Linked DNA regions of Kluyveromyces lactis. The main gene of each other region encodes a partner of the protein of the gene in region 3 in a complex. Links are inferred from orthologs where the notes say so. Each region holds a gene or a part of one and is shown on either strand. Other genes may lie near its edges.

What was found.
Region 1: MRPL4 (region 3) and MRP35 share a complex: the UniProt entries of both Saccharomyces cerevisiae proteins name them as parts of the mitochondrial large ribosomal subunit. The link is inferred for Kluyveromyces lactis from reciprocal best matches to the Saccharomyces cerevisiae genes MRPL4 and MRP35.
Region 2: MRPL4 (region 3) and MRX14 share a complex: the UniProt entries of both Saccharomyces cerevisiae proteins name them as parts of the mitochondrial large ribosomal subunit. The link is inferred for Kluyveromyces lactis from reciprocal best matches to the Saccharomyces cerevisiae genes MRPL4 and MRX14.

The regions. Positions count from the first base shown.
Region 1 is NC_006042.1:2,241,568-2,243,828, reverse strand, and holds MRP35 (mitochondrial 54S ribosomal protein bL35m), read right to left. Parts: upstream 891-2,261; coding exon 603-890; downstream 1-602. Other genes in the region: NMA111 (Nma111p), read left to right, coding at 1-380; protein channel TOM70, read right to left, coding at 1,561-2,261. UniProt on the Saccharomyces cerevisiae protein: Component of the mitochondrial ribosome (mitoribosome), a dedicated translation machinery responsible for the synthesis of mitochondrial genome-encoded proteins, including at least some of the essential transmembrane subunits of the mitochondrial respiratory chain.
Region 2 is NC_006042.1:1,781,376-1,783,833, forward strand, and holds MRX14 (mitochondrial 54S ribosomal protein bL34m), read left to right. Parts: upstream 1-1,448; coding exon 1,449-1,799; downstream 1,800-2,458. Other genes in the region: GEP5 (Gep5p), read left to right, coding at 119-1,036; MRPL1 (mitochondrial 54S ribosomal protein uL1m), read right to left, coding at 2,122-2,458. UniProt on the Saccharomyces cerevisiae protein: Component of the mitochondrial ribosome (mitoribosome), a dedicated translation machinery responsible for the synthesis of mitochondrial genome-encoded proteins, including at least some of the essential transmembrane subunits of the mitochondrial respiratory chain.
Region 3 is NC_006038.1:467,630-470,202, reverse strand, and holds MRPL4 (mitochondrial 54S ribosomal protein uL29m), read left to right. Parts: upstream 1-937; coding exon 938-1,936; downstream 1,937-2,573. Other genes in the region: U4/U6-U5 snRNP complex subunit LSM3, read right to left, coding at 23-274; 8-oxoguanine glycosylase OGG1, read right to left, coding at 2,128-2,573. UniProt on the Saccharomyces cerevisiae protein: Component of the mitochondrial ribosome (mitoribosome), a dedicated translation machinery responsible for the synthesis of mitochondrial genome-encoded proteins, including at least some of the essential transmembrane subunits of the mitochondrial respiratory chain.

The DNA.
Region 1 (2,261 bases), on a different chromosome or scaffold from region 3:
AAGAAACCACTAGAATTGTCGTATTCGCAGGTTGCGTACTACAAGCTCCTCATCATGCCGTGCGTCAAGTAAAAACGTCTATTCCTAGTGAAGTATATGCGGTTTCTCGTGGTACATCTTCTTTGGCGTTACAGTACGGAATAGAAGTGACCAACTTTATCACACACGTCAATGACCAATCAACACCTGATTTGGATACATTCTTGAAGGTTGTTAAAGAAATCCCAGATAATACATACTGCAAGTTACGCTTAATGACATTTGACGATGTTCCGTTTGCCATTTCCTTAAAGACAAACTATCACTACTTCCCAACGGTAGAATTAAGAAAGAATCCAAAAACAGGTAGTTGGATCGAGAATGATATCTCGGAGACTTAATTTGACTATATATATGATTAATCATTTTTTACCGTTGTTTGCAAATTGTATATAGGTATTTATTAATGATAATTATCCATTATAGTAACCCGCTGATTTTTCATGACATGCTTTACTGAAAATCATGGTAAGAAATGGTGTGTCATTCATTATGGGGATGCCATTGTTATATGTACAGGATTGAAATCGAAACGATATCTTATTTTAATTGCCTTTCATCTCTTAATGGTATGGAAGCAATCTCTTTAAACGATGCATATGTGTGGAGTCTGCTAATGACCTGCCAGATAATGATTTAAGGGAGTTCCTACTCCATCCAGCATTACCATGATTTCTTCCAGCCTTGCCCCTCTTGAAGCTATTGGCTGTTTTTCTCCATCTTTTTGCGGCACCTTTGTGTGTTTTCATCAAGTTTCTGGTGAGGATGAGCGATGAAACATTAGTTTTAGATCCCAGAAGTCCAGTTCTAGCGGAAAAGTTCATCATCGAACCAAAGATAGAAGATAGCATATTTGAAGTAGTTCGCTGGTGGGGTAAATCCTGCTATAGTCCGTTAACAATGAAGTACTTGAATTGTAGCTCACTTTCACTCAGTACCTTGCCATAATCTCACAAGAAACTTTTATTACATACACTTCTTTCAGAGAAAACAAAAAATGTCATTTATGTTGAAACGTATGTAGTGATATACTATCGAAGTGTTTAAAATTACAATTTGATTAAATTGTGAGATGGGGGAGATACATGTATATACAGAAAGACGTATTTGTTTCTAGCAAAATGGTAGAAGATGATGTTTTTGAACCAGGGGTATTTAGGAGCACATATTTTGCAATGAGCTGTTATTGAAAAGCGTTGTTCTCGTATTCTTGTTCTTCTGTGTTTCTTTTTGTCTTGTTTTTGTGAAGAATTGATAACTATTTCTTATTCTTCACGTTGTAATGTTGAGATCTTGTCGTTTACGATTAACACAGTTCACGCTGCTTACGAGTCATAAATAACTTGGGTGAAATGCTACAACTTTTTGTTTGTAAAATCATAACTTTCTTGGTAATTCATTCGTTTAGATGTTGCATGGTATGTTGCCATTATGGTCATTAAGGTGAGACAAAAACAATGAGCTATTGTAGCTTTACTCATATTGAAATGAATTAAATTCATTCGTGAATATCATGCTAATTTACGCGAGACCTTGAGCACGGTAGGCTGCAATAGCTTCGTCGATCTTACCCTTAATGAATGGATCAGCTCTGATCTTTTTCTGGACCTTGGTAGCCTCAGCGAAAGTAGTAGCTTGTAGTTTTTCATCGAAAGATCTTGAGAGATCGGCAGCATCTTCGAACAATTGAATGGCATCATCAATTTCTTCTTGTTGCAATTTTAGTTGAGCAAGACCGATCTTGGCTTGTTCGGATCTTGGATCGATCTTACAAGCTTCTTCAAATAATTCGGAAGCTTCAACGAAGTTTTCAACGGTTGGGTTTCTAATCAAAGCAGTGGCCTTACCAATCATTGGAGCAATACCGACGTGAATACCTGGTAAAGCATCTTCCAACTTGATGGCAATATCGTATTGCTTGATGGCAGCATCTAGAGAGTTCTTAGCAGCCAAAATTTCGGCATAAAAGTTTGGAACTTCTGGAGCAGTTGGGAACTTTCTTCTGGCTTCGCTGAACAAAGTTTCACAATCATCAAATCTATCGTCACGGAAAGCCAAGCAAGCACATTGGATGTAGGCAAAAATGTTTTCTGGATTTAATTCCTTAGCCTTATCGAAATCGGCACCAGCTTCTTTGAAGTTTTCAACAACAAAATGCATTTGACCGCGATGATAGTAAACAGCAGAGCAGTTTGGATCTAATTCTAAAGCTTTGTCAAAGT
Region 2 (2,458 bases), on a different chromosome or scaffold from region 3:
AGAGGTTCTGTATTAATCTAAAGACGAAGGTTATTACTGTTTAAAATAGGTCATAATCGAATGGACATACTGTGAAGTATTGTGCGTATTTTTTTGACAACAGTTTTGGAGGTTGACGATGAAGGCTAGTCTTCTGAGAACTTCGAAATTATACAAGGGTCTTCATTCAATAACTAAAGACGCCATTTCGAAGGTGGACACTTTCCCCAAGAATAAGCAACATGAAACGCTACATCGGTTAAACTCTTTCAATGAGAATCCAACACGCAAGACCTTGGAGAAATTAGTCTATTCTGTTCATTTCCATTTGTTGAACGATCCTCCTAAACACGTAGACATATTGAGACAATACCCTAATGAGTTGGCAAAATTTTGGCCCTATGAAATGCAGCACTCGATTTTAGAAATGGATGACCCAAATCTAACATCTCAAACGATTTTATGGTCTCGTAACAATAAGGATGCTTTGGATTTCTTGAGCTTCAATCGTCATAAGTGGCTGCGGCCGAAAAACTGGCAGACTCCGAATGAGGAACTTATAAAAGATATCACAGGAATTGACGGTCTTCAATCAACTCAAATTACAGAAGTATTAAGACTCCCTGCAGAAAAGATAAAGGAGACACTACGGCAAATTTTCGAGCATTACTATTTCTTGAAGACAAATCCGAAACTATGCGCTACAAAAAAACTCCAGGCACCAATCGTTGAGATCGGAATGAAACCTGATGGTTTCGATATAGCCGACATCAGGATCGATAACTTGTTTAAGAAAAAGGTCAAGCTAATTAGTGACCTGCTCTACTCGCAAAATCCGGTGCTGACTTCAGATGCAGAGTCTATATTAACGTCAATAGTTAACGACCCAGATCTCAATAGGCGAACGAAAAGATTGTATAAAAATGTTGCCAGCAGATCTTACCTTTTCAAAGATGGGAAGTTCGAAATAAGTGAACTTGCTAGAGGCGGATTTGTCCTGTCGAAGGAAAATTTGAGCGAGAACTTAGCTGCTGCCCTTGAGGAAGAACATAATTGACTTATGAACACACATCACGTGATATATAATTTACCTACAGCTACCATTTTAGCTCAATGTAAATAGAAAACACTTTAATAATAATGTTAGCCAGGAAATGAAACCGCCAATACACTTATTGTAACAGACTAGTCTAAGACCGATTTGAAGTTTCAGCGGTTTGCTAGAAGCCAAGTTTGTTCGCTTCCACAGATGCTTTCACTATTTCCAACATCCATCGATATTTTCATACATTTACATTAGTCTCGAGAAAGAAAAAATTTGAATTCAAAGAAATCAAACGAAGAGAAACCAGGACATATTTCTTGAAGACGAAGTCTCCTAAAAGTAGTCGCCCGAACTACTCATTAGTTATCGATAAGGATTTAATTCGAAGTGAAGAACAATTAAAATAAAATCTCATCCAGTCGTTATGAGTTTTATAACAAGAAATCTTCTTCAGTGGACCTCAAAACGTACATTAACCAGTTTCTCTAGTTTCTCACCTTTAAGAACACTAGACTCACGTCTTCATAGACCTTTGGCGCAAGTCAATCCAATGGAAATCACTTTACAATCTCAAACACAAGCAAATGGCTCATCAATATTTGGTATGTTGTTCGATTTGACTCAGAGAAGATGGAAAAGTAGAGGTAACACTTTCCAACCGAGTACTTTAAAGAGAAAGAGAAGAGTGGGGTTCCTAGCAAGGGCAAGATCTAGAAGTGGACAACAGATACTTAAAAGAAGAAAGAATAAAGGCAGATGGTATTTGACTTATTAGTTCTGTTCAACTTTCCAATCAAACCAGGAACGTTATGGAAGCGCCTGATTATAAAGAATGGCTGAATCTCCTGTATATATATCCACATCGTCATTATGTATTTTAAGAAAACGGAACAGTTTTGATTTTAGCTTTGCCATCAGAAAGCTGGCATGACATTAAGATGATTCTATCGGATAGGTTTATAGTTATCAATTGCAGAAGGAATCTTTTTTCTATTAACGATTTCTATGTACATGGGCATTATTTCTGAAGTAAGTTTCATTCTATCTTGACAAGGACAACAATTCCAGTTATTGTTCATAAAAATTGGGTTGCTTTATTAAGCAAAGTCAATCACAATACCAGGACCGTGTGTACTTGTCAGCGTAGTTTGGGACAATATGCTTGGTTTTTTCGTTTGTTGATTGGTGATAGATTGTTTGAAAGCCTTCTGTGTTGCCAACAAGTTCTCTAGAACTTCCTTGTCAGTGAAATGGGTCTTGGCAACACCTAAACTAATACTGTTACCACGTTGTCTGAATGGAACAGAGCTCATACTATCTTTAATCAATGGCTCAAGATCTTCGGCGACGGTTCCCTTCTTGGCAGTTGGCAGTAAACCACGAGGACCCAAAATTCTACCAACTTGAGAAGCAAGTTGTGGAACAATATCTGGA
Region 3 (2,573 bases):
GAAGAAGAAGGATACTGGACAATCATTCATCTTCTGGTGTTGTTACAAGGGCCACAAGACCACCTCTAACGAAAATCATTTCCGAAAACCTTTCGGTCGTTTTCAAATCTCCTTCTACTAGTTCATAAATGGTTTCCTTTGAATCTGAAAGAACAATATTACAATGTGAGTCGAAAGCCTGAAGAGTACCCACTAATTCACGAGCATCACGTAATTTCACATATACTCGCTCGTCTAAATTCAATTTTAATAGATCCAGAGGCGTATCAGACATCTTTGCGGCGTAAAGTGTGTATGTCTTCTATATTTATGATGCAGTCGTATTCTTACAATAACCAATAATGCAATTGATAGAGGGTACAGCAGTTAGGTTGAATGGTTTCCTTTGTCAGTTTATCAAATGGAGTACCAGGTATAGTAGAGTAGTCGATATACAATCCAAGGCTTAGTTCCATTCACACTCCAGAGCATCCTCCATAACATACTTAATCACCAAATTATTGTTAACGTACTAATTGATAAAAAGTGTTGAAGTTTTGAATTTCGATGTCAATGGAAAGCTCTGAATTATAGAATAATCAGTTAAACCAGGGAAGGTACACGTTTCCAACCATCTTTGAATGATACTGTACCTGTTGAAAGATGGCCAGGATATGCGATGCTAGTTTATCATCTTATTGCACTATGCTTCACTAAGAGAGTCAATAGTCAACCTGATATTCACGTGACTATCACATGACAAAGGCCGGGCAACCTAATGACGGACCCCGAATCAACTCTGTTCGATCAAAAAATTTTTATAACATTTAAGCAGAGGAAAGCTGAATAGGAATTAAAACATGGATGAATCAGCTAGCTGTCGTGATATTGAAGTGTTCTACCTCGATTGAGTAGCTGCAGGACGTGTTTATTATAGCAGGGATATTATATTTTCAAAATGTTCCCAGCAAGAAGGGGATTGCATACTACTTCTAGAGCATGTGCCAGGACGAGATTCACCAAACCTAAACCCAAACCAGCCAAGAGAGAGAACGTTAGACTACCTACCCAGAGGACCCATCACGATAATGATTTAAAGATTACAGCTCCTATTCCACCGGCTGCTGCCAATTTGACATGTCCAGATGATCATCCTTTATGGCAATTTTTCTCCGAGAAGAAGTTTTTAAGAACGCCCGAGGAATTGGATACGCTTTCGAGACCTTGGACCATCCCAGAGTTGAGAAGAAAATCGTTCACTGACCTACATTCTTTGTGGTACACATGTTTGAAAGAACGTAACGTATTAGCACGTGAAAACCATTTGGTGCAGTTCAACTTTGAAGCACAAACCGAAGCATACCAAGATATCTCCGAAAAGATCAGAACGACAATGTGGAGAATAAGACACGTCCTTAGCGAACGAGACTGGGCATTCAAGATAGCGAATGAGAAATTTGCTGTTGAAAAACAAGTATTTATCGAATCATTCGAAAAAGACTTTTTAGAAGCTCCTGCTAACGAAGATGAAGAGATTTTCGAATCATTGCAACGTTTTCAATATGCCATATACGGTATCTCTGAGTACATCGATGAGAACAAAGTGGACAGAACATTTGTGGATGGATTGAAAGCGGTTGCAACATTGAAGTTAAAGAAATTTGCACTAAGAAACGAGGACATCAAGAACTTTTTAGAAGAATCTAACAATACAATTGTGGATGCAGGTGAATCCTTCCTTCTGTATACATCAGAAAACACAGAATCTGCCATCGCAGAAGCATGTCAAGCGGTAAGGGAGTTGAGAGAAAATGGCTCCTCTGTGTCTAGATACGATGAATTGGAAACTGTTCAAGAATATGTTAATAAATTAGCTGAGGCTCAAATGGCAAAGGTAACAGAAGCGGAAATACAGCTGCAAGAAGAAGATGCAAAAAACAACGCTAATACACTATGATATTAATGCCATCGAAGTGATTGTATAAAGAGATAAGTGTAACCGTCCATTTGGATGAACCCAGCCTTCCTGTACATATGTATACACCAACTTAAATAACGGAATATAAAACAAAAAATTTCCTTCGACAACACTTTAATTTGACGAATAAGAATTGTATTTAAAGAGAGTTTTATTTGCAGTCAATTAATTCAATAGACCTTTTTAGCCTTTTTTACCGCTCTCCGTAGCGGCCTCCCAGTAATGCTATACTCTATCGACATAGTATCTTCAATTTTAACCGTGGACAAAGAATCTTCCGTACTGATCTCTGCCTCGTCTTTGACTACAACTTTAAAGTCTTCTTCTTCTCCAGATGCATCATAGTCCAGTTTGCGTCTTTTCACTAATTTATCACTTGTACTTGCTCCAACTGTTTTCCCAATTTCTTGTGCGAAAAGGACACATTGTGCCCAGCCCGCGTATGGGCCCCATAGATCCTGGAGCTTCCTTCTGTACATATCAAGTTCATAGTTCACCTTCTTACGTGTAATCGGTAACTTTTTGTATTCAGCCTGCAGTTCACTGATTTCCTGCTTAGTGTTGTTTAATTTGTAGTCCCTCGATGCAATCCTTGCGATGTGTACATCGACAGGAA